3 linked regions of the Canis lupus familiaris genome follow. The protein of the gene in region 2 purifies or fractionates together with the protein of the main gene of each other region. This does not show direct contact. Links are inferred from orthologs where the notes say so. Each region holds a gene or a part of one and is shown on either strand. Other genes may lie near its edges.

What was found.
Region 1: the proteins of AGO1 (region 2) and TARBP2 purify together in Homo sapiens (co-immunoprecipitation; 4 studies listed by BioGRID and IntAct, with this or other methods). This does not show direct contact. The link is inferred for Canis lupus familiaris from reciprocal best matches to the Homo sapiens genes AGO1 and TARBP2.
Region 3: the proteins of AGO1 (region 2) and STUB1 purify together in Homo sapiens (affinity purification with mass spectrometry; 3 studies listed by BioGRID and IntAct, with this or other methods). This does not show direct contact. The link is inferred for Canis lupus familiaris from reciprocal best matches to the Homo sapiens genes AGO1 and STUB1.

Annotation. Positions count from the first base shown.
Region 1 is NC_049248.1:44,926,681-44,936,686, forward strand, and holds the start of TARBP2 (RISC-loading complex subunit TARBP2), read left to right. Parts: upstream 1-5,298; 5' UTR 5,299-5,583; coding exon 5,584-5,636; intron 5,637-5,727; exon of another isoform or gene 5,728-5,885; intron 5,886-6,199; coding exon 6,200-6,369; intron 6,370-7,172; coding exon 7,173-7,275; intron 7,276-7,804; coding exon 7,805-7,900; intron 7,901-8,464; coding exon 8,465-8,537; intron 8,538-8,730; coding exon 8,731-8,848; intron 8,849-9,034; coding exon 9,035-9,162; intron 9,163-9,455; coding exon 9,456-9,657; intron 9,658-9,801; coding exon 9,802-9,959; 3' UTR 9,960-10,006. UniProt on the Homo sapiens protein: Required for formation of the RNA induced silencing complex (RISC). Component of the RISC loading complex (RLC), also known as the micro-RNA (miRNA) loading complex (miRLC), which is composed of DICER1, AGO2 and TARBP2.
Region 2 is NC_049236.1:6,334,142-6,344,047, reverse strand, and holds part of AGO1 (protein argonaute-1), read left to right. Parts: intron 1-2,100; coding exon 2,101-2,260; intron 2,261-2,444; coding exon 2,445-2,535; intron 2,536-3,795; coding exon 3,796-3,990; intron 3,991-5,659; coding exon 5,660-5,794; intron 5,795-6,335; coding exon 6,336-6,437; intron 6,438-6,973; coding exon 6,974-7,173; intron 7,174-7,412; coding exon 7,413-7,521; 3' UTR 7,522-9,906.
Region 3 is NC_049227.1:40,360,926-40,370,931, reverse strand, and holds STUB1 (E3 ubiquitin-protein ligase CHIP), read left to right. Parts: upstream 1-4,469; 5' UTR 4,470-4,582; coding exon 4,583-4,741; intron 4,742-5,297; coding exon 5,298-5,496; intron 5,497-5,588; coding exon 5,589-5,754; intron 5,755-5,814; exon of another isoform or gene 5,815-5,963; coding exon 5,964-6,051; exon of another isoform or gene 6,052-6,169; coding exon 6,170-6,226; exon of another isoform or gene 6,227-6,306; coding exon 6,307-6,423; intron 6,424-6,500; coding exon 6,501-6,626; 3' UTR 6,627-6,874; downstream 6,875-10,006. Other genes in the region: RHBDL1 (rhomboid-related protein 1), read left to right, coding at 1,049-1,087, 1,380-1,541, 1,745-1,969, 2,045-2,193, 2,285-2,397, 2,472-2,572, 2,653-2,713, 2,800-3,071; JMJD8 (jmjC domain-containing protein 8), read right to left, coding at 6,921-7,001, 7,076-7,210, 7,286-7,353, 7,439-7,558, 7,654-7,722, 7,808-7,904, 7,984-8,233, 8,319-8,413; GATOR complex protein WDR24, read right to left, coding at 8,685-9,038, 9,128-9,468, 9,547-9,651, 9,744-9,865, 9,942-10,006. UniProt on the Homo sapiens protein: E3 ubiquitin-protein ligase which targets misfolded chaperone substrates towards proteasomal degradation.

The sequences.
Region 1 (10,006 bases), on a different chromosome or scaffold from region 2:
GGCCATCTGTGCGCCGCGCGCTCCCGCCGGGCCCTCGCCTCGCCCGGACCTCGGGGGCCGTCGCCGGGGAGAGGCGGCGTCGGGAAGGAAGGGCCTTGACAGGGAAGGGAAAGCCAAGGTCTGGGGGATGCGAATGCCCGCTCTGCCGCCTTTGAGGGCCCGACAGAGCCTGACGATAAAGGACCTTGACCCCTCGTGACCTTGCCTCCAGGCCCGGGCCACAGGTTCTCCCGGAGCCCTCCTGGGGGGGCAGTGTCCTTCCCTGAGGACCTGGGGTACACTGAGATCACCTCCAAAGCCCGGCCCCCGCCTCACAGATCAGGCCCTGGCACCCCCTAGCTGCGCCCCCCCTTCTTCCAGTCAGCTGGGGAGGGTCCTAGACAGGAGACAAGAGCCAACTTTGCATTTGGCGCCATGGGAGCCAGAACCTCGGTCCTGCCCAAGGTGGCGAAGGCCAGGCCTGGGAGCCTCCTCCCGCCCTACCTTGCCGGGTGGGGACGCCTAAGGGGAGGCGGACAGACGACTCGAGCACAGGCCTGGCTCCTGGCTCTGCCCCCCCCCCCCCCCCCGGCTGTCCCTGGATTCTGGAGAGGCCATGTCTTCTGTCTGACCTGAAAAAGGGAGCCTCGGTCTCTGACCTTCTACTTCCCTGGGACAAATCTCAACTTCAGGTTCCAGGGAAACCAGGTCACAGTGGCCGTCGGGCGCCAGAGTCCCCAGTCCTTGCTCTCTTGGCTGCCAGGCCCCCAGTCCTTCCACGGCAAACCCTGGCACTCCACGCCCTCGGGCCTTGTCCCGAAGGCCCGCGCTCTGCCCCTGGCCAGCCCCTGGTGCCCTGGTCACCCCCCTGCCCCTTAGGGTGGGAAGGGAAGGGAAGGGAAAGGAGGGTAGGAGCAAGGTATGAAGGGCCACCGGGTGCCTCGGCCTCGGGCCCTGGGCGGGGGACCCGGAGGAAGGTCCGCACATTTAAGCAAATAGTTCCTGGGGTGGATGGGCATTTCAAAAAAATCTGGAAGTGCTCGCTTCGGCAGCACATATACTAAAAAAAATCTGGAAGACAAAAAATAATAAATAAAAATATAAAAAGATCTGGAAGGACAGATACTGAAGTGTAACAGTTTCTAGGTAGGTGGAATTGTGGGTGTTTTATTTTCTTTTTGTGGCTTATCTATATTTGTCTAATATTTCAGTAATAACTTTGAATTGCTTTTAAAATTAAAAAATCGATTTCAAATTGAAAATGAGGCAATAAATATCAGTGTCCGTCTGTTCCTGTCACCTAGCTTGGGACCGTGTGCTATGGAGGGAGAGCGGGTGGCCTGGGGATCAGAGACGCTCGGCTGAGGTCCCGTCTGCGCTCCTGACCAGGCAGGCGAGCTAGGGACCAGGAGACTCCTGAACAAACCTTTTTCTCCTCTGAATGGGAACCGCGGTACCCCGGTCACACGGTGGCCCAACAGTCTATAACGGGGTGGTTCTGGGTCAGGTGGGCCTGGGTTCAAGACCTAAACTCTCCCCCAAAAGTGCTTTTTTCACTTTGAACAGATTACTTCTTTAGGTTTCAGTTTCCTCATCCCTAAGACCGAGATGACGAGAACACGCCCCGACTCTTAGCCTGGTTGAAACGCGAGCGACATAATCGCAGTAAAGTTCCTGGCCCAGGACAGGGCACACAGGACCGTCCCCAGAAACACAAGCCATGTTGAAAGTGCCTAGCAAGTGGCAGCGGCGTTTCTTTTATAAATGTGATTCCCTTCCCTTCCTCGCCTTTTCCTCGACGGCAGCAGAGGGCACAGGTGCAAAGGGCGGTGCACACGGCGGGGCAAGGAGAGCAAAAGGAGGGAACCGAAGGCCAAGGGCTCTTTGTCCTGGGTGATCCTTAGGCTCCTCTGCCATCGTGTCCCTGCCTCATCACCTTCTCCCGAAACAAGGATGACCCTGGTCCCTCTGGGAGCAAATGAAGCCGACGGACCAGTCTCTGTGGCCAACCCCTCATGAAGCCCACCTGTCACCTGCTCGCCTGGCTCCGTAGTAGCCTCCTGCCCCACAAGGGACTCCTAGAAGGCCACGCAGGGGAGAGGGAGGACTGCGTGTGAGAAGCCACGGGGTGAGTCTGGGGTGCTGGGCACTAGGATTCGGGGTCGTCTTCCTAGCAAAACCAGACGACCAGATCATCACCTCCAGGGGAAGGACTGGGGAATGGCGGTTGCTTCTGAGAGGCGTCCTGCACCCTTAGCTGTGAGGATGCACAGGACGTCCAAAGCCAGTCCTCACTTAAACTTCTTGCCTCCTCTGCCCATAACCGGGTTTAATTCGGGGACGGGTCTTTACTTGTGTTTTCATGGAGTTGGGGTATCCCGCCTTCGGTGGCCCCAGCATGGCCTCAGTCCCCGCTGTGAGGGTGGAGGCGTGGCGGGCTCGGGAGGGCAAGCACCTTTGGCCACCCTGAAGCGTGAGATGGCAGAGAGCAGGCCTTGCGTGCCGCTCCGGGAAACTCTGCTGTCTGGACAGGAAGGCCAGGGAGCCCTTGAGCCCCTTCCTTCCAGGGCCCTCGTGCTCGCCTTCCCCGGTGCTACCCTTGAGCCCACAGCCAGGGCTCCCAGGACTCCCAGAGCCATGGGTCCATCCTGCCAGTCGGAAGGAGGCACTGGCTGCGGCTGAGAGGACTCTGGGTGGGGGAGAGACCTCAGGCGCACTCCTAGGTGGAGGGCCACCCCCTCTCCTCCCCAGAGGGAGCAGGTGTGGAGCTCAAGTCCCTGAAGGTGGGACTCTTCTATGCTAAGGGACACCCCACCGACCCCCTTCCCGGGTCTGTAGAGCCTCTGGCCCCTTCTCTTCCGTCCCCTCCACCGAGGCCAAAGTGATCAGGGATCACAACTGTGGGGAACAGATTCTTGCTCATTTTCTAGCCAAGGAGTTTGAGAAATGTGTGGGGCAGAGGCAGGAGGTTCCTGAGAGGCCTGGGCTGGGGAACTGGGTTAGGGGAGTCAGAGGAGCTGGAGAGAAAGAGGGAGAGAACCACAAATGAATGGGGGAGGGGAGGAAGCAACAGCTGGATGGAGAAGGTGAACGGCACAGCTGGAGGGGGCTGGGGGCAGCAGCGGGCAGGGGGAGGCCCTCACCTGGGCATCCTGGAACAGGTGCTCGCAGCCTGTAATCCTCAGGTGCAGCGGGCAGAGCGCGGGAGGGGAGGGGAGGGGAGGGGAGGGGGGCGGAGGGGGGCGGAGGGGAGGGGGCCGCTGGGCACCTCAGGCCCGGTCCTCCCTTTCCTTCCCGGAGGGGCCCGAACTCTTCCTCCTCCTTCCCTCTCCCCCTCCGGGAGGATGAGTGGGAGGAGAGGAGGATGTTCTCTTGCCCGCTGTCCTTTACGTCGGTGCCCCCGCCGTCCCCCACCCCCACCCCCGCCCCGTACGGTGCTTTCCAGCCCCGGAGGCCCTCGGGCTCCCGGCTGGGCCGCGGCGTCCCTCCGCTCCGTCCCCCCCCTTCCCATCCCCACGGGCGTCGGGTCCAGGTCCCCGCTTCCCCCGCCCCGCGGCCTCAGCATCCCCGCGCCACCCCACCCCACCCCGCCACCTCGGCCTCCCGACCCTCCCTCCGCGCCCGGACCCCGGGGCCCGGACCCCTCCCTGCCCCCCGCCCCCCACCTCGGCCAGGCTCTCACCTCAGGGGCTCCGCGGCCGCAGCACAAAAGGCGGCGCTGCTGCAGCTCGGCTCCGGATGCTGCTCCCGCCTCCTCCTCCTTCTCCTCCTCCTTCTCTCCTCCCCCCGCTGCCCTCGACCGGACCCGGGGCGCCGTCACCGGCGAGGCTCGCGCGGCGTCCGGGGGCACGGCTGTCGGCCCCGGCGTCCTCCCCCCACCCCCCGACCCCTAGCCCCGTCCCCACTCGGCTCGAACTCCCGCTCCTTCCGAGGCCCCCGCCCCTGGCCCCCCGGGACGGACACGCCCTGAGCGGGGGATGCTGCGCTGGAGCCGCCGGCCTCTTAAAGGAGCCCGCCGCTGCCATCCGGCGCGCTCCAGGCCCGGCCCCGGCCCTCCGGGGCCCCGCGCCTCCCCGCAGGCGGGGTCGGGTGGCCGTCGCACCTCGAGCCTTGGCTGGTCCCCGAGGAGCCCCCTGTGGCCGGTCGGACACCCTGCCTGCTACGCCCCGAGACGGAGCCCCTCCGCGCGGGGACCCCGGCCGCCCAGCGCTCTGGCGCGGCTCCCCCTGCCTTGCCGAGCCAGCCAGCCGCCCTGCCCGTCGCCGTCACCACTCCGGCTCTACCCAATTGGAATCCGCCGAGCCTAGTGCCCGAGCTCCTCAGCGCCGTTCCGGGGCTCCCCCGGCTCTCCACTACCTGGCCCAGCCTCGGGACGCTCGTTAGAACCAGGCATTTTCGTGGTGTCTCGCCAAGGTCACGAGATTCTCCTACATCTTTGAACCCGGTGGCCGGGACACCCTAGGGAGGAGGGGCTGCAGCTCTGCACCCAGTTAGCGGGTTAGCGTTCAGAGGCCGGAGTCCTCTCCTGCTGTCTCTTCGGCCGAGAGACCCCAGACCCACAGCCGCGGGAACGAGACCACGGTGTGCGTGAGTCCTAATGCTGTCGCCCCTACAGCCCGATTCTCAGGCCCCAGAGAGGGTCCCGGGCCACCTACGGAGAGGTTCCCTGGGGACGGCCCAGCAAGGCTTTAGAGAAGACCTGAAACCAGACAGGCTGCGGGCCAGAACTAGGGGCAGGGAATGAAGGGCAACCCGGGAACACGAAGCAGGGGCTGTGAGACGAAGGCCCCGGGGCCGGGAGCGAGGAGGAACTGCGGGCCGCCGGCCGGCCGGCCCCAGCGCGGAGGGGCTCGAGCGCTCTCCTCCCGCGGCCAGGTGAGGCCACCCCCAGCCCGCGCCGAGCCAGGGTGCGACAGCCCCTCTTCCCTGGACCAATCGCAGCCTTTCCTCAACAAAGGGGCGGGGCCGAGGGGCTGCCTCGCTCCTGGCCCCGCCCCTCGAGGCTCAGTAACCAATCGCAACGTGCCTAGAGCGAGCCAGCGCAATCGGACACGACCAATCCTATCGCGGAGCTCTCCGCGCACGCCTGCGCCTGCCCCTGCGCGGCGACAAAGATGGCGCGCGAGCTGCCGGTCTCTGTAGTTTCCTCGGGAGCCTGCGGACCCGGCGCTCCGGTTAGGCCTTAGCGCCCCGCCCCCAGCCGCTTCCGCTCTGCTCCCGCGCATGCCCACTCCGGGGAGCGGAGACGCGGAAAAGAGGCGGGACGCTATTTAAAAAAAAAAAAAAATTCACACGCACAGACACACGGACACACGGACACAAAGCCACCCTCCGCTCGGGAGGCCACCGTGGAAGGCTCCGCTCCTCCCAGGAGGCGGTGCCGCATCCCCGGGCGACGCCCGCGGGGGCTTGTGGGGCGGGCGGCTCCCCTCCCGATGGAGACTCGGGGAGGCGGGTGGGCGGGGGACTCCATGTCCCGGCATGCCCCGCGGCGGGCCCGACCGGCCGCGACTCGGGGCTCGGCCCCGGCCCTAGCTCGTCGGCGGTGTTCTGGGGCGCGCGGAGGCTGCAGTCACGGTGGGGCCCGCGGGCACGGAGGTGGGAATGAGTGAAGAGGAGCAGGGCTCCGGCACCACCACGGGCTGCGGGCTGCCCAGGTGAGCCGCTTCGAGCCGACCCCTGCCGGGCGAGAAGCGTGGCGCGGCGCGGAGGTGGTAGCGGCGCGGCCCCAGCATGCACCTGGCCCGAGGGTTGTTCCCGGCAAGCACCGGGGTAGTGGGCCGTGGTTCCCGGCATGCACCCCGGCAGTGGCCACGGCCTCCTGCTCTAAATAGTTTGGGGTTGGCCCGGTTCCCAGACTGCACTTGGGGCACTGGGCTTTGTGCTCCCGACATTCAGTGCGTTTGGTGGGTACCGGGTCCCTGGGCTGCACTGTGTGGGGACATGCACCTCCTAACTGCACTGGGGTGCAGGATCCTCCTCCTGCTTAACTGAGACAGGAACAGTGCGTTGCCCGCGTGCTCTGGGGGCCGTGGACCCGGCTTCCAGCCCGCTTCTACTCCACACTGAACCCAGCCAATGTGTGCTGTACTGCCCGGGGTCCCCTGGACCCGTGTCCCCCCATAGTGTGCCTGGGTCTGATACGACAGTGCTTGGCCGGGTGGGCGCAGAGTTGGAGGTGTGATAAGGGTCCGTGACCCCCTGCCCCCGCCTCCCCCAGTATAGAGCAAATGCTGGCAGCCAACCCGGGCAAGACCCCGATCAGCCTTCTGCAGGAGTATGGGACCAGAATAGGGAAGACGCCCGTGTACGACCTTCTCAAAGCCGAGGGCCAAGCCCACCAGCCTAATTTCACCTTCCGGGTCACCGTTGGCGACACCAGCTGCACTGGTGAGGAAGGCTTGGGCAGCCTGGCTGGGGTGTGCATCCGCAGGGCCCTGGTGGCTTTGTGTCCTGGAGTCTCTCCCCAGTCCTTTGCTCCAAGGCCAGTGAGGGAAGGAGAGATTTCAGGGGGAAAAGCCACGGACTCGTTTGGGGGAACGGGTCTTTGAGGAGGCGGGTAGGACTCCGGAGAGTTAGAGGAGCAAGCAGGACCGCCAGAGGGGTCTGGCACATTGTCGTCATCCTAGAGGAGAAAGACGGGATGAACCAAACTCTCAGCGAAGTTTCGAAGGAGTGAGTGCCTGCTGCACTGGGCTCTGTTCCAGGTGCTTGACCAAATTCCTAGTTCGTCTTAAATCGCAGTCTAATCCAGGGATGTGGGGGATAGCACCTCCGAGCTGAATATGAGGGAGCCAAGGCTCGGGGTGGATGTGAGTGGTGCAAGGTCCCGGGCCTGAGAAGTGGCGGAGCGGGGCCTTGACTCCGGAGCCTGCCCTCTTTCTACTTTCCCAGACATCTCTATGTATTGAGAGAAAAGAAAGCACTTCCCAGAGGCAAGGAGAGCCGGGAAAGCGTCTCTGCCCAGGGTGTCTGAGCTCCAGAGCAGTCGTGCCTGGCGTGGCTTGATTTGGGGAGCTCTGGGGAGCAGAAGCCCTCCCTTCTAGTAATTAGCGCAGCACTTCCGGTCTTGGGCAGGGGCAGGTGGTGAGAGGGGCTTGGTTGACTCCCTCCAGCCCTGAGGAGAGAAGCTGTGGGTGCCGGCTTTTCTGTCCTCCTAGTGACCTCCAGTATCGCCCACGCCCCTCTCTCAGGTCAGGGCCCCAGCAAGAAGGCAGCCAAGCACAAGGCAGCTGAGGTGGCCCTCAAACACCTCAAAGGGGGGAGCATGCTGGAGCCGGCCCTGGAGGACAGCAGGTGAGGGAGGACCAGCCGAGGCCTCGTAGAGACCCGGCCAGGAACCCAGGCCCCTGCGCTACCTCCTCTGCCCACCTTGACCTGGCCGGACAGGGCGGGATGCTTCCAGGGCTCCCGCTGTTGTGAAGGATCCTGTGGGGGGATGTCAAGGGGCTGTGGCTGTGGTGTGGGCCCAGGCTAGGGAGGGAAAGGGGCGGAGGCTGAGGCTAGAGGGGTCGCACCCCAACACGCCTCCTCTCTCTAGCAGGTTGTCCTCCCCTCTTGCACACTTACATTGGGGTTTGTTGCCTCCGTGGCTCTTGTGTAGGAAGAGACCGTCTTTCCCCTTGTCTCAGTCGCTTTGATCCAGTGTTTGGCAGCAAAGGATCCCAGAAGGTGGTGGTTAAGCTTCCCTGAGTCTTTGGCTCCAGTGGGAAGGGGTTTTCTTAGGGGACGGGCAGGTCAGGAGGACCTGGGTCCCCACCCTCTACTCCCCACCCCACCCCTGCCCACATGGGTGTGAATCAAAGGCCCCCTTCCCCTCGGGAAGTTCTTTTTCTCCCCTAGACTCTTCACTGCCTGAGGACATTCCAGTTTTTACTGCTGCAGCGGCTGCTACTCCTGTTCCATCTGCTGTTCCAACCAGGTATCTTGTGTTCCTGCCTGCCTGAAGGGGGGAGGTAGGGGTCCCGGCTCCTGGCCCCCCAGCCTTTGGACCCAGGCTGGTCAGGCAGGAGGAAGTCTGAGAGTAAGCAGAGGATGGAATAGTTGGGGACCAGAATTTGAAGACTTTGCCTCAGTTGGTAAGCTCTTGGGACAGGAGGTAATCCACGATTCTTAAATAGCCACAGAGAGGACATTTGGCCATGGTCAGGGGGCCTGCAGGCCCCATTTTCTCCTGAGTTGGCCACGTGATGGTCCTGTGTGTGCCTCCCATCAGGTGCTTCCAGGGACTGGATATACAGCCCCCCTCCCACTGTCCTGGCAAGGCGACGGTCCGGTGTTCCAGAAAGTCCAAATGGGCCTGGGCCCTGGAGGAGACCTCACCTGGGTGGGGAAGGGAGGAAGCAGGCTGGGTGTTTGCATGGACAGCTGCCCGCCTGGCGGGGACCAGGGAGATGGGAGCGGGGACACCGGCACAGGGCGTGGGACTCTGGGCACCGCAGAAGGGACAGCCCCATGGACTTCGGCCCGGCCCTTCCTCCTTCAGGAGCCCCCCCATGGAGGCGCAGCCCCCCGTCTCCCCTCAGCAGTCTGAGTGCAATCCTGTTGGCGCCCTGCAGGTGTGCCCCCGGCCTCCGTCGTGTGCATGCCTGTCTGTCCTTGAACCCGGGGCCACCAGGGCAGTTGTGTGGGGCTCTTACCCGTTCGGAGGGCTTTTCCCACCCCCTTGATTCCCCTAGGGCGGGAGGGAGGGAGGGGGCCCGGGGGTCTGTCCTCACTCAGCCTCGTGCGCCCCCGTTCCTCCCTCCCAAGGAGCTGGTGGTGCAGAAGGGCTGGCGGTTGCCTGAGTACACGGTGACCCAGGAGTCCGGGCCGGCGCACCGCAAAGAGTTTACCATGACCTGTCGCGTGGAGCGTTTCATTGAGATCGGTAACTGGGCAGACGGGAGCGCGGGCAGCTCCTAGCCCCTACCCCCCTTCCTGCTGCCCAGGGCCCGGGCCGTGGCAGCGCCTGAGGGCTCTTTCCAGTGCACGTCCCGCGAGGGGGCCCCGCCCAAGGCCCTGAGCTGGGTGGAGAGCCCGGGAAGCCGAGTGCAGCAGCCTCTCCCCCACGCAGGCAGCGGCACTTCCAAAAAGCTGGCGAAGCGGAACGCGGCGGCCAAGATGCTGCTTCGGGTGCACACGGTGCCCCTGGATGCCCGGGATGGCACCGAGGCAGAGCCCGATGACGATCACTTCTCCATCGTGAGTGGCCTGTGGGGCCGGGCGGCCGCTGGGGGCCTGGGCCCGGCACGCGGATGAGCCGCCGCGGGGGCCCCTGCCCGTGCTCCTGCTTGGCCCCCGGCTCGGGGCTGCTGGGCGCGCTGGGCCGAGAGTGAGGAAGGCTGCGGGGCCCCGGCCACCGGTTAGCGGGCGGCGAGGGGGAGGCAGGCTGGCCAGGCGTTCACCCGCGGGCTTTCTCTCCGGGGCGTCGGGCGTCTGTTCCACGCCGGGTCTCAGCCCGAGGCCGCACCTTTCTCACCTGCCCGCCTCGTCAGGGTGTGGGCTCCCGCCTCGATGGACTTCGGAACCGGGGCCCGGGCTGCACCTGGGATTCTCTGCGAAATTCCGTGGGAGAGAAGATCCTGTCCCTGCGCAGCTGCTCCCTGGGCGCCTTGGGTGCCCTGGGCCCTGCCTGCTGCAGTGTCCTCAGCGAGCTGTCCGAGGAGCAGGCCTTCCACGTCAGCTACCTGGATATCGGTAGGGCCGGGGAGGCGGGGGCTGGCGGGGCCTGGCCCGAGTGGGCCTGCGTGGGCCTCGGTCCTGGGGAGGCCTGGCGACCGGGTGGCGCCCCGCCCGCACTGCCCTCCGGCCCACGCGCCTCCGTCCTCTCTCCGCCCCCAGAGGAGTTGAGCCTGAGCGGGCTGTGCCAGTGCCTGGTGGAGCTGTCCACGCAGCCGGCCACCGTGTGTCACGGCTCCGCGACGACCCGGGAGGCGGCCCGTGGGGAGGCTGCTCGGCGCGCCCTGCAGTACCTCAAGATCATGGCGGGCAGCAAGTAGAGCCCCCTGGCCTCCCTGCGCACCCCGGCTCCCCCCGGCCTCCACCT
Region 2 (9,906 bases):
TGCCTTTTTACTTTCTTAATGGGAGTCTTTTGTTGAACAGAAATTTAAAATTTTAATGTACTCCAATTTGTATAATATTTTTTCTTTATGATTAGTAATTTCTGTGTCCTTTTTAAGAAATCCCAAGATCGTAAGATAGTAGTCTATGTTTTCTTTTAAATAAATGTATGTATGTGTTTTGACCTTTCACATTTAGAATTCGTCTGTCTCTTCCAGAAACTCTTGCTTTCTCTGTCCCCTGGCAGTGGTTCTTCTGCTTGTGCAAAGCTTAGAATCTCAGCCTCTTGTCCACATCTAGAATTAGCAAAAAGCAGCTGCAGAAGATAGCTCAACTTGGTGAGATTCTCTTCCTCTCTGGAGTTTTTGTCTCTTTAGTTCTTGTCTCAGCACCTCTCTGCTGCCTTCAAAAGATGATTTCTGTATTTTGTCTGGCTTTTCTGAATTTTATCTGCAGAGGCATTGGTTGGCCACTAACTACTCTGTCTCTCTTGATAGTGGAAATGATCCTTTAAGCTTTTTAAATATGTTCAGGTCTCTCTCATCGAAAACATACTAAATCTTTCATTGATCCCACATCTCCACCTTGGCACTTTGTATCAGCAAAATAGTTTTTGCCTCTAAACATTAATTTCTTCTGTAATGATAAATTCAAAGGATATCTCTGGGGCACGTGGGTGGCTCAGTCAGCTAAGTGTCTGACTCTTGATCTCAGCCCAGGTCTTGATCTCACCATCATGAGTTTAAGCCCTGCATTAGGGCTTCATGATGGGCATAGAGGCTACTAAAAAAACAAAACAAAGGACATTTCTAGTCCTTATTTTACTAGATCTCTTAGTAGCATTTGACTTAGTTGAACACTTGTTCCTTGAAACTCTCATTTTCCTTGGTGTTCATGATACAACTCTGTCTTCCTCCTAGTTCTCTGGATATTTCTCTTTTGCAGACTCATCTTCTTAATTGTTCTGCAAATGCTGGAGGTTCCTCAAGATTCAGGTCTAAGCCTTCCTCCTTTCAGCTGTTCTCTTCCTTGATGATCTCATCAAGATCATGCCTTTAATTACCCTCTGTACAAAATATCTAACACATTTGCATGTCCTTTCAGACTGCTTTTGCACTTTAAACTACTATTCTCATTACCTAATTGACATCCTCACTGGGATAACCAAAAAGCACTTCAAACTCAAAAGGTTTCAAAATAATTTATGACCTGTTTTATTACAAAAGCTAGAAACTTGAAATTTATCCATAAAAATTCTTTTTATCATCTCTGAGTCCCTTAAATCTCTATTGAACCTGTTTGTTTCTTTCTATCTTAAGTAACTGTCTTCTTAGTATAAGCAACCCTCAGTTCTTGCTTAGGTCAGTCTGATAGCCACATTCTTTCTCTTACACCATGGTTCCTTTACTTTCCCTTTTTTTTTTTTTTAATAATAAATTTATTTTTTATTGGTGTTCAATTTGTCCTTTACTTTCCTTTTTAGTTACTTTGGCTTTTCAGTTTCTCTATCTCTCTCTCTCTCTCTCTCTCTCAAAATTTTTTTAAGATTTTATTTATTCATGAGAGACAGAGAGAGATAGAGAGGCAAAGACACAGGCAGAGGGAGAAGCAGGCTCCATGCAGGAGGGAGCCCGACATGGGTCTCGATCCCGAGTCTCCAGGATCACGCCTTGGGCTGAAGGTGGCGCTAAACCACTGAGCCACCCGGGCTACCCAGCTTTTCAGTTTCTCAAGCAGAACTCCTATCAGAGTGCATTTTTGCATCCGTTCCCTCTGGTTGGAATGCTCTCCCAACTCCACCCCTCTTCTAATGATTTTCCACCACTGGGTTTCATTTTTATCATTATTTAGTCCTTTCCTGGCTGGGTTATTATCCCCTGATATATGCTCTCATACCTTCATGAAGTTTTTTATTGTAGCATTTATCATTGTTGTACTTCTCATGATTTTTAGATTAGTCACTAGACAGTAACCACTATGATTAGGGACTCTATGTTTCTGGTTATCACTGTATTCTTACCTTCTTATATCCTGCCTGACATCTAATCGGCATTCAGTAAATATTTGTTGAACGCACTAATTACTTCTCTCCCTGCTTATAGCTGAAGTGAAACGTGTTGGAGATACACTTTTGGGAATGGCTACACAGTGTGTGCAAGTGAAGAATGTGGTCAAGACCTCGCCTCAGACTCTATCCAACCTCTGCCTGAAGATCAATGTCAAACTTGGTGGCATTAACAACATCCTAGTCCCACACCAGCGGTATGATCTCTGTTGCCCACTTGCCCCGTCAAGCAAGGTACCATGTTGGGGATTGTCAAAACGATAGGACTCTGGCCAGGCAGAGTGAATCAGACACAAGGGAGAGATGACCAAAATGGGTACTAGATGGTGCCAGGAAGAGAAGATCCAACTCCTCACCATTTGTTTTCTCTTCTTTGTTTAGCTCTGCCGTCTTTCAACAGCCAGTGATATTCCTGGGAGCAGATGTTACACACCCCCCAGCAGGGGATGGGAAAAAACCTTCTATCACAGCAGTGAGTGATACTCTCCAGCTTCTTCTTAAGGTTCTCATTTTAGCTCTGAGCTTCGAAGACTGCACATAATATCCTTGCCTCAGCTCTGATGCTTGACCCTTCATAAAAACTTTTTTTCCAGCTGATCATCCCCATTAACCACTCCCTTGGTATCTTCATTAAACTAACTCTGTATGGTATCTGTTTTTCAGAGAGAGCAGTGAGAGTGTAGGCGGTGGCCAGAGACTTTGACCAGTCTCCATCACTCTTGCTCTGTGTTCAAATTTCTCTCTCTCTCTCCATGCCCACTTTTGGGATATAGGAAAGACCATATCTCTTCTCTGAAATCCTTTTTAACGTGGTTACCTAGTTGCTGGGACTGACTGTTCTTTCCTCTTCCCCATCCCTACCCCTGATCCATCTAATAGATTAGTTGTCTTTCCAATCCCTCTCTAGCTTCTCTGCTCCCCATCCCTAGGGGCTTCTGAATTGCTAGGGATCAGGCCTTTCTTCCCACTTCTCTTTTCTCAACCCTCACATTTCTCTAGGCAAACGGGGCTAATCACAGTAAATGCAGGTAAATACTATGCTATGCTTATCCTTGTTTTCCTTGTGGCCGTCCATCCTAGGCTCTGGCCACGTCCCCTTTGAAAATGATATTACTCCTACCTCCTGCAGGAACACTCTTCATTGTGATTACTGGGTAGATTAGTACTTAAATTGAGAAAAGGACAAACTTGTAGCTCTTTGAGTTGGTAGTGCCAGACCTTCACATTACCCTCCTGCAAGGGGTAAGAAAATCGAACTTACCAAGTACTTACTGTGGGCTAGGTCTTATGCAAGGTGTTTTATTTTTTTTAATTTAATTTTATAGAAGATTTTACTTATTTTTTCATGAGAGACACAGAGAGAGGCAGAGACATAGGTGGAGGGAGAAGCAGGCTCCCCGCAGGGAGCCCAATGCAGGATTCGATCCCAGAACTCTGGGATCATGCCCTGAGCCAAAGGCAGATGCTCACCCATGAGCCACCCAGGCATCCCTGCAAGGAGTAGCACTGTAAGCAGGTGGCATTCTTATCTATTTGAGAGGAAAAAGAAGATCAGATGGATTAAATAACTTCTGCATGCATGATAGAGATTGAAACCAGGACTCATTGTATCCAAAACCCTACTAATTTGATTGCATAGTTTTCTTGCTAAGAAGCCTTCCCCAAATCCACATCCTAACAGTGTTGGGAGGGTGGAAGTTCTGGAGGCTGATCCTGCCTCTTTGATTGTTAGGTGGTAGGCAGTATGGATGCCCACCCCAGCCGTTACTGTGCTACTGTGCGGGTGCAGCGACCCCGGCAGGAGATCATTGAAGACTTATCCTACATGGTGCGTGAGCTGCTCATCCAGTTCTACAAGTCTACCCGCTTCAAGCCTACCCGCATCATCTTCTACCGAGATGGGGTTCCTGAAGGCCAGCTCCCCCAGGTAGGGCCCAAAGTAGGTGAAGAAAACCTTCACATTGGGGCCAAAGGGCCTAATGGGTGCAGAGAGTACTGCTCCCTTTTTTAAAGCTATTGGCATTGGGAGGTGGTACTTTGAGAGCTTTGCTAAATGGCAGTAAGGCCTAGGATGGTCCCTAGAATTTATAGTTCCTTTTTTTTTTTTTTTAAGATCTTATTTATTTGAGATAGAGACAGAGCACGAGTAGGGGGAGTGATAGAGGGAAAAGGAGAAGCAGGCTCCCCACCGAGAAGGGAGCCTGATGTGGGATTTGATCCCAGGGCCCCAGGATCATGACCGGAACCAAAAGCAGATACTTAACTGAATGAGCCACCCAGGTGCTCCTAGGATTTGTAGTTGACAAGTTCCTACATAGGTGATGCTGCTGGTTGGAGGTCACACTTTGAGAATTACTGCTGTTGAGCTTCCTTCAGAATGTTCCTCCTATTCTTTGTCCCTGCCAAGTCTTCATATTCTGTTGTTCAGAGTATATAATGAACTGGTTTCCTTGACTACCACTTAATATTAATACAGCTGTTATTTATTGAGCACCTCTTATGTACTATGAATTGTGGTAAGCACTTCATATGTGTTCTACTTAATGGTTAGAAAAACTCTATGAAATAATAATTATCCCATTTGACAGATGATGAAACTTGAGGCTTGGAAATGTTAAATGATATCTTCAGTGTCAACCAAGCTAAACAATGGTGGAACTGGGATTCAGACAAATTGGTGTGATTTGAGTTTATGCTCTCATCCATTTCTCAGTTTTCTCTAAGTCATCCAGTCTTCCCTAAAACAGCAGACAAATTTATACTATCATTTTTCTGTTCAGGAATGTCTAGTAGCTTCACATAGTCTTGGGATAAAATTCAAACTGCTTAGCAAAGCAATCAGGAGTTATTAAGCCCCTACTAGGTTTTTTATACTTTTACTTAATTAATCTGTTACACTTTTCACAACAGTTTTGTGAGGCTAACTTTAGTAGATGTGGAGAAAATGAGACTTAGGAGGTTAAGCAGCTTGCTAATAGGAATATAACTGAATAAAGCTTGGGTTTAAACCTAGTTCTAATTGATTTCCATTCCGTCCATTTTCTACCATACAGTTTTGACTCCCTATATCTGACTTCTAAGGCCACAAGGCAACTATTGCCTATGGTTATTTACTTGTGGGTTCTTCTTTAGCCCATTTTCTTATAATCCTGCTTCTTTGTAGGACTGAATTCATCTACTCCTTCTGTATCAATTCCTGAACTATGTGTCTGCTCTTCTCTGGTGATCTCAGCACTGTCTGCTCTTAGAGCTCAGGGGGAATTCCTATTATCCTCCTGATTCTGAAATTGACCTTACTTTGGGCATTGTGATATTAGTGATGTCTGTGTACTTTGGTTCTGTGTCTTTTTATATATGAACCAGGTGAGTGCTCTCTGCTGATGCCAGCCTCCCAACCAAGGTTTTTTAGCAACATATCATGGCAACTGAGTATAAGACAAATTTTACAGGAAGGCTCTGTCATCTGTGATGGTTGGGTGTCAGCTTATAAAGAGACTGAGCAAAAAGCCATATACAAATGGCAACCTCGTAGTTCACACAGATGTGACTTAGGAGAAGCTATATGTCTCTTTGTCTCCCTTCTCACTCGTGCCTAGATCCTGCACTATGAGCTGCTGGCCATTCGTGATGCCTGCATCAAACTGGAAAAGGACTACCAGCCTGGGATCACTTACATTGTAGTGCAGAAACGCCATCATACCCGCCTTTTTTGTGCTGACAAGAATGAACGAGTGAGTAAGAGATTGAGGAAGCCACTCATACCCTTATCCTGTGTCCCTTCTCTTAATATGGAAAAAGCCCTTGAGATAAATTTGGGGATTTAATCCTTGGTTTGTCTGTTGTCTCTGGCCCCTTCCCCCAGCTCTTGTCCTTCCCTTTTTTCCTTTTGTCCCCTCCTGCCTTTATAGTCCGGCTCCTTCCTCCTAGCTCCCTCACCTGTAGACCCCTCTATAGACCAGCTCCCAGAGAAGAAAAGAGAAGTACTATTTATTGAAGTTCTGTTATATGTCAGACACTGTACGAGGTGTCTTCCTCACAGCAGCCCTGTGAGGTAGGTATTATTACCTCCAGTTTAACCTCAAAAAAGTTAAATGACTTGCTAAAGTCACACAGCTAATGAATGGTAAAATCAGGTCTGTGTGACAGTAGAAGCCCATTATTTTAATATCTAATATCCTCTAGGAACAGCAACTTCTGCTTTACTTTTGAGATTCTGGTGGGCCAGGCAGACCTTGGGATCTTGGGATCTTGGTTGTCTTTGTCTCTATACAGATTGGGAAGAGTGGTAACATCCCAGCTGGGACAACTGTGGACACCAACATCACCCACCCATTTGAGTTCGACTTCTATCTGTGCAGCCATGCAGGCATCCAGGTAGCCGGGCTATGTCCAGGGGTTTCCAATGGGTCAAAAATGAATTGATTATTCCCATTGTCTCTAAAATATATCAGGTGTCACTGAGGGCATTCAGAACAGGATTATTCTCTTAATAAGCTTTTAGCGTATATGAACAGAAGTACATTTTGAGCATCTTAAGCAGGATTGCCCGTAACAAGGGTATTTTGTGACATAGGTAGCTTTGTGTGTGCGTCTTCCAACCCAATCACACTCCTTTTTTTTTTTTTTAAAGATTTTATTTATTTATTCATGAGATGCACACACACACACATACACACACATACACACACAGAGGCAGAGATACAGGCAGAGAGAGAAGCAGGCTCCATGCAGGGAGTCCTATGTGGAACTCCATCCCAGGACTCCAGGATCACGCCCTGGGCGGAAGGCAGGTGCTGAACTGCTGAGCCACCCAGGGATCCCCCACCACACTCTTAATAGTGATCCTATTCCTTAGCATTGGCCATCCCTTCTGCCCAACCTGGGGCCCCCTCACCTTCCTATCTTCCCAGGGCACCAGCCGACCATCACATTACTATGTCCTTTGGGATGACAACCGTTTCACAGCGGATGAGCTCCAGATCTTGACGTACCAGCTGTGCCACACTTACGTACGATGCACACGCTCCGTCTCTATCCCAGCACCTGCCTACTATGCCCGCCTGGTGGCTTTCCGGGCACGATACCACCTAGTGGACAAGGAACATGACAGGTGAGGCCTAGGATCAAGGTGGCTTTCCTTTAGCATCAGCCTCTGGTACTAGATCCTCTCAACTTTCCTTGGGCAGAAGGAAATGAATATTATATAATATGGTATCTTTGGGCTCATATGCCCAAATCTGGGTTGGGGCTTTCTCTTAACTTGGTATGGGAATTGGTACTCTGAATGGGGGAATGGATTAGCAGCAGCTCAGTGCACCAGGAAGGACTTCTTTCATTTTTGCTTTTCAGTGGAGAGGGGAGCCACATATCGGGGCAGAGCAATGGGCGGGACCCCCAGGCCCTGGCCAAAGCCGTGCAGGTTCACCAGGATACTCTGCGCACCATGTACTTCGCTTGAAGGCAGAACGCTGTTACCTCACTGGATAGAAGAAAGCTTTCCAAGCCCCAAGAGCTGTGCCGCCCAAATCCAGAGGAAGCAAGGAGGAGGAGGGAGGGTAGGGAGGAGTTCAGAAGGCCTTGTTTCCTTCTACAAAGGGGGCAAAAGGGTGGGGAACAGGGCCAGTAAGCCAGACCACCAGCCAGAAATCTTTGATGTCCACCTCATGACCCCCACCCCTCCACCCATCTTGTCACATCTGGCCCTGACCCCACTGGACCAAGAGGGGCAGCACTGGTGCCCACCATACACACAGGTGTCTCATGTGACTCACAGTGCTAAAGACTCATGCCTGACAGCTTGCTAAGGTCGGCTCTGCAGCCCCGCGGACAAAAGCTGGTAGGTTTGGGTTTGATACTTTAGATGGGAGAGTGAGGGGCTTGAGAAAGTGGGTGGGAGGAGGGAAGGATTTTTTAGGAGCCTTAATCAGAAAAGGTCTAGATTTGTTTAAGAGGAAAAACGAAACCAGACCCAGATCAATATTTTAGAATACTAGATGTTTTAATGGGTTGAAAATCCAGTTTGTAGGAAGATTTTTAATGCTAATGATTTTGGTTGCTCCTCCCCCAGCTGACACCCCTTTTTCCCTTATTCCTTTCTCTCTACTTTGTCTACCCCACCTTACACCTCCTCCCTGACAGACATCCAGCCCCTAGTAAGACTTAAGGCACTATGGCACTTAGCTCTGAAGTGACACGACCCTGTCTTCCTTCCGCCTACTGGTGGGTAACCAGTGCCTTCCCTGTAACGGTAATGCTGCAGAACTGCAACCTTTTGTACCTTTCTTTGGGGGGATGGGGTGGGGGTGGGAGAGGAGGTAGGTGGGGAAGAAATACCCCTAACCCAACAAGCCTCTAGCCAGAGCGCCAGCTACTTTGCATTCAAAGGAATTAACTTCCATATTCATTGAGCTTTTAAAAAGATCACAACCTCAAGATGGTTAAAGTCCATTGACATTTGCACTTTCAGACATGACAAGTCTAGGAGCTGCTGAGATGACTGGCCCTTGGCCTTTCCACTTGACGCCTCCTTTTCTCCCTGTCGTCGTCCCCCCCCCCCCCCCCCCAGCCTTCCCACCTGCCTGGGTCTGGAGTTACTTACATCGCATTTCTCATTCTTGGCTTCTTTTTTCCCCTGATGGTCAAGTCGATTATGTTTCAATATTTCTTAACTGGGGTGTCTTATAACAAATGATCTTTAGGTCTAAAATAAGAAAAAAAAAAAGAGCAAAAACTAAATGTTATTTTTATACCATAACTTGAGTCTGTTGCCAAAATCTGGAAATCCCTCCCATGCCCAATAAGTTTACATCCCAGAAACATTGAGCCATCAGAAGGAACTATGTACCTGACTTATTCTTTGGCCTGGCTAGGTAGGGAGAGTGGTTATCTCCCCAAGGTGGGGCTCAGGCTCCACCCTTCCCCTGTGCAGATAATATCGTTTTCTTGCTGTAGGCGCCCTCCTCTGCACTGCCCTGTACTCTTCCTGCAAGTGCATCTTCCCTTTCTCTAGACTGTTCTCTGACACTTTGGCTCATCCCAGATTCCAGTGTGTCCTGTGGACAGGCTGGGGGATTTTGCTGCTCCCTATCGCTTCTGTTTACACAAATGAATTTTTCCCAGTTTCCCACTAGGGCATGTGAGTGGGTGGCATGGGCCTTTGTTTTGTTTTGTTTTGTTTTGTTTTTGTCTCCCTGGATAAAGATGGGGTTTGGCTATCTTGCAGAACTGGAAAAGTAGGGGGTTTCTAGCTTGGTGCCTGCTGGCCTTGAGGCAAGGCCCCCTCTTTCCTTAACTGTTCATTTTTTTCCTATCCCACTGCTTGGGATGAGGAGTTGCAGCTTCAGTGTGGAAGTTCCTCTTTGTGAGGAGCCTGGGCTTGGGTTTGCCCCAATCTGGTGATGAAGCCATGACACTTTAGACCTAGCTCAGGCTTGGAGGCCAGTCTGAATCCTGGCCTGTGTGCTTAGAGCTACCATTTCCCCTCTCCAGCAGCCCTTGTACAGACCCAGATTTGCTATGCAAAACAGTCTATCCCAGGTTCTGTTCTGGTTGGCTACTTTGTTCAGCAACTTCACAAAACGTAGCACAAACATTGATTATGGAGAAGGCATCAGGACTGTTGAGTAACTCCTCCTCTACTTCTTCCCTACTGGCTACGGCATGGGATGCCCCATGGGCACAGCCCAGCTGAAGAACAGAATGGAGGGCTCTGGGAGGAGGCAGCTCACTGGAGAGCCTACATTCCTTACACAAGTGCCTAAAGAGAGTGATGCCAACACTCCATCTGCCCTGTCCATCGCCTTCATATAGTGTCTACTTCGTGTTCAGTCACCCTTTGGGGAGG
Region 3 (10,006 bases), on a different chromosome or scaffold from region 2:
GCCCTGGCTCTCCCTCACAGCCTGACCAGAGCCGCAGCCCTTCCTGTCCCCGCGTCCCTTCACTTGGCGCCCGGGTGTCTACTTGGTGGGTGTCCCGGAGGCTGGAGCAGACAGCCTGCCGTGTGGCGGGGTGCCCCCTCCCTGCCATGGATCAGCCGGTGTCCCCCAGGTCTCTCCCAGGCCCCAACATGCTCTTGGCAGGAGGCTGGGGATGCTGGGCCAAGGCAGAGGGCCTGGGGGACTCTGGCGTCTCCCCCACTGTCCCTACCAGCCCTGCTGGCCCTTGCCGCACAGGTGCGGTTCTCACCTGCTTTGGGGAGACCGCCCGCTCAGTCGCGGGAGGGTTGCCCATGGCATCAGGATTTGGAGGGACCGCTAGGATGGCACATCCCAGCCGTGGCCTGGGCCTTAGGGTCTGCACCCACACGGGGGCATCCACGGCTGCAAGTCCCACCGTGCAGCACTGGCTTGGGAGTGGGGGTCTGCAGCCTGGGTGTGGGGTGCTGTGGACTGAGCAGGGTCAGCTGCACCAAGGGACTCCCCGCCCCCTGTGATCGGCCCTGTTGGCTGGCCTTGTCCCCGTGGTGGGACCGTGGGGCTTTCCTGCCACGGCCAGACACGCGAGCCCCACGGGCAAGCTGGCACCTTCAGGGAATGCTGGGCAGAGCAGGGTCGCAGGCGGCGCGGTGGCCAGGTCACCCCAGGGAGGCGGCTTTGAAGCCCCAGGGTGAGGGGCGGGGAGGGATGGGGGGGGGGGGGCTGCCCCGTGACTCAGTTTCCCCAGCCGCGCGACCGAGCAGCCTCAGCCCCAAACGGTAGGCGAGGACTGAGCTGTTCCCTCCCGGGGCGCGTCCGCAGGCAGAGCGCGCGCGTGTCCCGGCCGCGCGTGGGGGGGGGCGGCGGCGGCGGCGAGCGCGCGGGGGCGGGCGGCTGTGGCTCCGTGACGCGCGCCGGCGGAGCGGGCGGGCCGGGGCGGAGCGGCGTCGTCCGCAGAGCAGCCCCTTCCGGCCGCCGCCGACCCCGGCCCGGCCCGGCCCAGCCTGGCTCTATGGACAGGAGCTCGCTGCTGCAGCTTATCCAGGAGCAGGTGCGTGGGGGGCGGGGGGCACCACCGGGAGACCTGGGGCCCCTGCTCCCCTGCCTGACGCTCCGGGAGAGGGCGGCCGCGGCTGGGGACGCAGAGGAGGGAGGGAGCCTGCCCGCCCGGAGGATGCGCAGGGCGGGAAGGAGGTGGGGAGGCCGAGGAGCGGTGGAGCGGGAGCCCGGGACCCGCGGGTACGGAGGCCTGGCCCAGGGAGCTGGGAGCCCGCCCCTCTGCTGGCCCGGCCCCGAGGCCGCCCCACCTCAAGCCTTGGCCGATGGCCGCCCCCCGACCCCAGCAGCTGGACCCTGAGCACACAGGTTTCATCGGTGCGGACACCTTCACCGGCCTGGTGCACAGCCATGAGCTGCCCCTGGACCCGGCCAAGCTGGACATGCTGGTGGCCTTGGCCCAGAGTAACGAGCGGGGCCAGGTCTGCTACCAGGAGCTGGTGGACCTGGTCAGTGCCACAGTGGGTGGACGGCAGGGTAGGGGCCCGGCCGAGCGGGTGGGCAGGCAGCCCCCACGCCTGCCCTTCCCACCTGGGAGGGGTGTGGACGGGGGCGGGGACTCAGCCTCCACCAGGAGCAGGGGGGGGTAGCAAGGGGGCAGGGTGGCTCGGGGCGCAGGGAGCACGGTGGCCCATGCTTAGCGCCCCCCCAGATCAGCAGTAAACGCTCGAGCAGCTTTAAGCGGGCCATCGCCAACGGACAGAGGGCGCTGCCCCGGGCCGGGCTGCTGGACCAGCCGGGCCTGGGTGTCTACAAGCGGTTCGTGCGCTACGTTGCCTACGAGATCCTGCCCCGAGAAGTGGACCGCCACTGGTACTTCTACCGGCACCGCAGCTGCCCGCCCCCCGTGTTCATGGCCTCAGTCACCCTTGCCCAGGTGTGCCTACCCGCCCGCCACCCCGGAGCCTCCCCGCGCCCGGCCCAGCCCAGCCCTAACGCCCCTCTCCCCCAGATCATCGTGTTCCTGTGCTATGGGGCTCGTCTCAACAAGTGGGTGCTGCAGACCTACCACCCCGAGTACATGAAGAGCCCCCTGGTGTACCACCCCGGCCACCGCGCTCGAGCCTGGCGCTTCCTCACCTACATGTTCATGCACGTTGGGTGAGCGGGGGCCCGCCTCTGGTGTCCCCGTCGGGTAGGGCTGGTGGTCCGCCGCCACCAACCTCACATCTGTTTACACCCACATGGCCAGCCTGGAGCAGCTGGGCTTCAACGCGCTCCTGCAGCTGATGATCGGGGTGCCCCTGGAGATGGTGCACGGCCTGCTCCGCATCAGCCTGCTCTACCTGGCCGGGGTGCTGGCAGGTAAGGCAGGCACACGCCCCCCGGCCACTGCACCGGCGAGCCTCCTGCTCACGGCTCTCCTTTTGCTCACACAGGCTCCCTGACTGTCTCCATTACCGACATGCGGGCCCCTGTGGTGGGGGGCTCTGGTGGGGTCTACGCCCTGTGCTCCGCACACCTGGCCAACGTCGTCATGGTAATAGGGCAGACAGCGGGGCGGGTGTGGGGAGGGGCCCATAAGGCCTGCCTCACAGCCTGTGTCTCGCGCCCCATCAGAACTGGGCTGGGATGAGGTGTCCCTACAAGCTGCTGAGGATGGTGCTGGCCTTGGTGTGCAGTAAGTACGGGGTCAGGGGGCTGAGAGGGGCCTCAGCCTCAGGCCAGAGTGCCTCCCACCTGCCCACCTGCCACCTTTCTCTGCAGTGAGTTCTGAAGTGGGCCGGGCCGTGTGGCTCCGTTTTTCCCCGCCACTGCCTGCCTCCGGCCCCCAGCCCAGCTTCATGGCACACCTGGCAGGTGCAGTGGTAGGAGTCAGCATGGGCCTGACAATCCTGCGCAGCTATGAGGAACGCCTGCGGGACCAGTGTGGCTGGTGGGTGGTGCTGCTCGCATATGGCACCTTCCTGCTCTTTGCCATCTTCTGGAACGTCTTCGCCTACGACCTGCTAGGCGCCCACATCCCTCCACCACCCTGATGGGCTCCCCAGGGCCCCATGGGTCAGGGCACTGGTGTGTGTGGGCTGGCTGCCAGGCGAGCCTGCACATCTGCCCTCTGTGAATGTACACCTTGAGACTGCTTCTCCTCCGTAGGGGCAGGTGGCCCTCGCAGCCCACTGAGTCCAGGCCAAGCCTTACATCAGCCCTGGCCACCCCCTCCCAGGCCTGGGGACATAGGACTGCCTGGCCAGGCAGTGGAGGTCCCCAAGTGTGGCCCTAGGGAGACCCTGCCCCTGCCTCTCCCCCACAACTTGCGGTCTGAGCCTTTTTGGAGAATGAATAAATATTTTACACAGCAGGAGGTGGCTGCAGTGGGCTCTGGGGGCTGGCCCCAGGGGCCCGCCCGGCCCTCGCACGGCAGCCCAAGCTCTCCCGGTGCTCCCTGCACCCAAACCAGGCGTGCGCGTGTGGCGGGTGTGCGAGGAGCTGGGGTCCTCACAGGCAGCGGAGACTGCAGCCCAGCCGGTCGCCCGCCCTCCGAGAACCCTGTGGCCCGGGCCCAGCAGGGTTCAGCCAGCCTGGCTTCTCTGCGCTTCTGGGCCGGCGCGGTGTCCTTGCGGGTGGCCAGGCTGGGGCGGGTCCCACGCGGGGAGGGGTCCCGGGCCTGAGGTCCCGCCCGGGCGGGGACAGAGGGGGGCGGGGGCCCGGGCCCAGGCCATGCGGCGCTCGGGCCGGCTCTGCCTGCCGCATGCACCCCGCCTCCCCAGGGCCGCGGGCGGCGGGCGCGCGGCGGCCTCGGAGCTCCTGCAGCCGGGGCTCGAGCCTCGCCAGCGTCTGGGCAGGCGGCTCCCGCGCACCCCCGGGGTCACGGCCACGGGCCCCCCGGCAGGCGACGACACTCACCGGCCGGGCCGAGGTGGGCTGGGCGGGGTGGGTGGGGGAACCTCACCCGGAGCCCCGCCCCCCGCTTCCACGCCGGCGGCCACGTGCTCCTCCGCTCCGCCCCCGGTGGCCGCGGGGAGCCCTCTGGGGCCTGGGGAGGGCGGCGACGGAGCCTCGGGCAGCGGGGTTCGGCCGTCCTGCCACCGCTCCAGAGCTTCCAGCCGTCCCTGGCGGCCGCGGCACCTCCCCGTGCGGCGCCAGGACCGCAGCCCCGCGGCCCTCAAGGCCCCACGGCCGCGCAGCCAGCCGGCGGCCGCCTAGTCCGCGCGGGGCGGGGCCTCGGCGGGGCGGGGCCTAGGCGGGGCGGGGCCTCGGCGGGGCGGGGCCGCGCTTGTCGCTGTCCCGGACGTCCGACGTCGCGGGTCGCGTTCCCTCGAGCGCATGCGCCCAGTCGGTCCCGCCCCCCCTTGCCTCCGCGGCCCGTCGGACGCAGGCGCGCCCCCGCCCGTGCCGCTGGCCCCGCCCCGCGCGGCCGGAAGTTCCGGTGGCGGATCGCTGGACCGGGCCCGAGCGGATCGCGGGCTCGGGCTGCGGGCTCGGGCTGCGGGCGCAGGGCGGGCCAGACGCGGAGCCTGGGAGCGAAGCCCGGGCTGTGCCGCGCGGCGCTATGAAGGGCAAGGAGGAGAAGGAGGGCGGCGCGCGGCTGGGCGCCGGCGGCGGAAGCCCCGAAAAGAGCCCGAGCGCGCAGGAGCTCAAGGAGCAGGGCAACCGGCTCTTCGTGGGCCGCAAGTACCCGGAGGCGGCGGCCTGCTACGGCCGCGCCATCGTGAGTGCGCCCGCGCCGGGGGAGGGGGCCGGCGTCCGGGCGGGGGAGTGGGCGGGGCCCGGCTCGCGGCCCCGCGTCCTCCCCGGAGCCCCTGCCCCGCCGCTCCCGCCGGACCCTCGGGGCGGTCTTGGTTCGCCCGCGGGGGCGTTTGGGCCCCGAGAACTCGGTGCTGATCATGTTCCAGTCGAGCCAAGGCCGCGCGGTTCTCGAGCCAGTGCTGGTTGCTGGAGGGGCGGGTGGGAGCTTGAGGGGTGCTCGAGGCCCCAGGCCGGGACCAGGGTTCCTGTCCCTTGAGAAGCCCAGGCCCGAAGCTGGGGCTCTCCTCAGGTCCGGGAACCTCACCTTTACAAAACCTCCTGGGAGCCCCGAGAGGGTGGGCTAGCGCAGGCCTGAGGACCGGGAGTTCACTCTACAGCCCTAGCTGAGCAGAGGCTTCCAAGCTGAGAAATTTCTAGTGTCTGGATTTTAGCTACGGGCTCCCAGACCAGGACAGGGCCTAGGACAGGGCCCACGGAGCTTTTTCCCTCATGCTGGCTGGCCTGGCCTTGGTCCCCAGACCCGGAATCCTCTGGTGGCCGTGTACTACACCAACCGGGCGTTGTGCTATCTGAAGATGCAGCAGCATGAGCAGGCCCTGGCTGACTGCCGGCGGGCTCTGGAACTGGACGGGCAGTCTGTGAAGGCACACTTCTTCCTGGGGCAGTGCCAGCTAGAGATGGAGAGCTATGATGAGGCCATCGCCAACCTGCAGCGAGGTGGGCCTACAGGTTGTCAGGGGACGGCGGGGGCGCCTGGGACCAGGTGGATGGACTGGCCAGAAGGTGACCTGAAGCCCCTGTTCCCCCAGCCTACAACCTTGCCAAGGAGCAGCGGCTCAACTTCGGGGATGATATCCCTAGTGCTCTGCGCATCGCCAAGAAGAAGCGTTGGAACAGCATCGAGGAGCGGCGCATCCACCAGGAGAATGAGCTGCACTCCTACCTCACTCGGCTTATTGTGGCCGAGCGGGAGAGGTGGGCTGTGGTAGCGGCAGGCTCCAGGGCCCCACCCACCCCCAAGGCAGCACTCTGGGGTTAACTGAGTCAAGAACACAAGTGTTTATTGAAGGCCAGCACTGGCGAGCAGTTGGAGGGAAGAGAGACCTGAACAAGCCTGAGGTTGGGGTGGAGTGTGATCTCTTCTGGCCAGACCCATTCCTGACTAGCTCCTGGTCGACCCCCAGGGAGCTAGAAGAATGCCAGCGGAACCACGAGGGTGATGAGGATGATGGCCACGTCCGGGCCCAGCAGGCCTGCATCGAGGCCAAGCACGTGAGGGTGCCCCAGCCCACGTGTGGATGTGTGCGTGTTTGCGTGCCTGTGACTGGAGGGTGCCCGGGGGAGGGGGAAGGGGCATTTGGCCCACGCGTAGCTGCTTGGTTCTCCGCAGGACAAGTACTTAGCAGACATGGATGAGCTTTTCTCCCAGGTGGACGAGAAGAGAAAGGTAAGCTGTCTGTCCTCTGGGTAGCAGGAATCGGAGCCGGGTCCCCATCCTGGTGCCTGACCTGACTCCATGTGCCACAGAAGCGAGACATCCCGGACTACCTGTGTGGCAAGATCAGCTTCGAGCTTATGCGGGAGCCGTGCATCACGCCTAGTGGCATCACCTACGACCGCAAGGACATTGAGGAACACCTGCAGGTGAGAGCCAACAAGAGTGGGGAGCAGGGCCCGTAACCACTGAGCACTTTCTGACCTGCTGTCACTGCACACTGCAGCGTGTGGGCCACTTTGACCCTGTCACCCGGAGCCCCCTGACCCAGGAACAGCTCATCCCCAACCTGGCCATGAAAGAGGTCATTGATGCATTCATCTCCGAGAACGGCTGGGTGGAGGACTACTGAGGCCAGGCGAGTGCCAGAGCTGCCTGCCTTGCCTAGTACCCTGGCCCAGGTGGGCTTTGGGGCAGTAGCTCCCAGTTCCTGTACATAGTTTGTGTCCCTAGATCCCTGCCCTGGTGTCCCTTATCCCACCCTCATCAGTTCTGCTGCTGGACCATGAGCCCCACCTCCACCCCCTTCTGGGCCAGAAACAGCAGGTGAGGGTGGGCTGCTGCCACCACTGTCCTGTAATAAAACCTGTGAGCACTATAGGGGTGTGTGCTGGTGTGTGCTGGGCTCACCAGCCGCCCACTCTACCTAGCCGAGGAAAGTAGAGATAAAAACACTGGTGTCCAGGTTGAGCGTAGCATGCCACCACCGGTCAGGGAAATACAGCACCTGGTGGAGGGTGGGGCACAAGGATTAGCTGGTGGCGTGTGATCCAGCCTGACCCCTTCCTGCCACCTACTGACCTCACCAGCCTGCACGGTGCACTCCAGGGGCCTCTCAGATGGTGCCAGGGTTGGGTACACGTCCTGAAGCCAGGCCAGTGTGGTTTTGTTGGGGTGGAACTCAGGTGTCTTCTCAGGGGGATACAGGAACCAGCGCTGAGGGTGAGATCAGCCCGTCACTCCATGTTGGCAGGCAGTAAGCCCCAAGCCGCAGCCCCGGCCCGTGCTGACCTTGCGGCCGTAGATCACCTCTGAGAACCCGGGCCCGTGCCAGTGGAAGGGCACCCCAGAACCAGCTCCTGTGGGGTCAGTTAGGAGCACTTGCTGACGCAACCCCACCTGGCGCATCCCCTTCCTCCGGCATGCCACGTGCAGGGTACCCACCTGCGATTCCAAAGCTGTAGGCAGCAGTGGTACCTAGCAGACTAAACGGAGGCGGGGAGTAGTGCTGGAAGAGTGAGGCCCATTCGCTGAAATCGTTGTCCCCGAAGAAGTACAAGGTGTCTGCCAACACAGAATATAGGAGGCGCCCGGGTCTCAGCACCTGTGCTTGTCCACATGCCCCCAGCCCAGCCCACGGCCAACCAGGTGTTACTCACCGTTGCCCAGGGAGCTAGGGTCTTGGGGGTGCAGTAGGTGCTCCACGTAGTCCTGGAAGGGCAGGTCCACTGTAGGAAAGGGCCTGGTCAGGACTGGCCGAGACCGCCTGCAAGTGCCGGCAAGCAGGTGGGGCGGCGGCGCGCGGCAGCTCACCTTTCCGGTAGGAATAGGTATTGGCGGTGCTCAGCCGGACCACGCTGTCCCCGAACGAGGCCAGCAGCCGTTCTCGGGAGCACAGGGCCCGGAAGCGCTGGGGTGGGGTGGGGTGGGGAGAAGATTCAAGGGCGGGCCGGCGCGGGTGGAGAGGCCGGGCGGGGCGCTGCACTCACCGAGTTGTCCGTGAGCCGCTGCAGGATGACGGGCCTGGAGAAGGCGTACCTGGAGGGGCGGGGCCGCAGCGGGTCGCACCGGCTCGGGGGAGGGGCGCGGGGGCCGGGCGGAGGGGCCGGGGCGGGAGGCGGGTGTGGGGGCTGCACGTACTGCTGCACGAACTCGGCGTAGCTGAGGTCCGCCCGGCGCTCCACGGCGCAGCGCTCTTCCTCCGCCACGGCGGCCGGGGCCCCGGGCCCGCGCCTCTGCCTACGGGCACGGCCGTCAGCGCCCCGCCGCCCCCCCAACCCGGCCGGCCGCCCGCGGGTCCCGGCCGCCCGCCCGCGCCGCTCACCACCCTCCGTCGCCCGTGTCCCCGGCGCCGCGCAGCACCGGCGCCGCCAGCGTCCAGACCGCCAACAGCAGCAGTGGCCGCGCCCCCGGCGCCATGAGCCCGCCGCCGCAAAGCCTGCCGGGAGCTTCGTTGTCGTGGCAACAGCGCCCGGCCCGCCCCGGAAGCAGCTCCTTTGGCCCGCCCCGGAAGGCGGAGCGGCCGCCGCGGGTTCCCATGGCGACGACACCGCCCACCCAGCGGAGCCGCCCAGCATCGAGCTGGCGGCACGAGCGCACGCGCGGGTGACGCGTGTGACGGGCGGCCTCACACTGCGGCTCCTGCTTCCTTTATTCGGTCCCCACGCCCAGCGCCTCCCGCCCGCGGCGGTCAGGAGTACTCGCACAGGTGGCCGCAGCCCGCCGGGCAGTGCGAGCTGCCCTCCAGCCACTTCATGATGTGCTGCAGGTGGCCGCCGTGACTGCAGCCCTGGCACCACACGAACAGCCCCTTGACCACGTGGTGGCACACGGCGCACATACTGGCGCAGCGGTGGCAGCGGTCACAGACCCAGCCGCGGCTGCTCATGGGCCGCTTGCAGTGGCTGCAGTTGACATGCAGGGTGGTGGACGCCTGGTTGAGGCAGCTGATGGCGCGGCTGGTGCTGAGCTTCACCACCTGGTTGGACACGTTCCAGAGGCAGAAGCGCTGCAGCAAGTCGATGTAGGACGTGTACCAGTGCTCCTGGGGCGGCGGGAGGGAAGGAGGCCGGAGGTCAGTGCGCCGGCGGCCCTGGGGTGGCAGGGACGCCCTCCCCAGACCCACTCACCCACCTGGGTCTGCTCGTCGATGTCCTTGCGCACTCGTTCGCCCAGCACGATGAGCACGGACACGGCCATCTGCACGTCACCCTGCTCTGCATAGAAGCGCAGCATGTCACACACCAGGGCGCTGAAGAAGTCGGGCGGCAGGCGGCTGTCGTAGAGCGCGTGCGAGACGGAGATGAGCGAGAAGGAGGAGTCCACGGGCACCATGGAGGCTGCATCAGCCTCACTGCCGCTGACGTGGGGCGAGTCAGCCTTGTCCTGCAGGTGCTCGGGCCCCGGCGGAGTGTCCACAATCTCATGGCGTAGCGGGAAGGCCTCCTGCGGCAGCACGTACTCGGGCTCCTCCGCTGAAGGCAGGGTCAGGGAAGGCAGGGTCTGAGCCTCCCGCCCCACCTCCCAACCCCACTTCCCCAGCGCCCACTCACCATGTGCATGTTCTGGCTCCAACAGGTACAGCTCGTCCTCTTCGCCCTCCACGTCACCCAGCAGATAATCCGCAGGCACGTCGCTGCCCTCTGTCTCTTCGTTATCTGCCCATAGGGGAAAGGGTGTTCCAGAGGAGCTGATTCTGGGAGGCCCCAGCCCTACTCCCACCAGTGCCCTGTCCACCCCCGCAGCCTACCCTCATTGGTGAGGAGTGTGGCTGAGGAGTCCAGCAGCACTGTGTCGCTCCGTGTGTCACCCTTGCTACGGTCCAGTCTGGTCTCACTGCCCAACCCTGGCGCCATATCCTTCAGGTTGAAACTGGGGGCAGGGAAGGCCAGTGGGTAGATGGGCTCCAACAGCCCACCCTTAGGGCGGAGCCACCCCAGATGGCTACCTGTTCATGAGTGGCAAGCCGCAAGAGCTGCCCTTGCCCACGCTGTGGTTGAGGTTGGTGGCAGA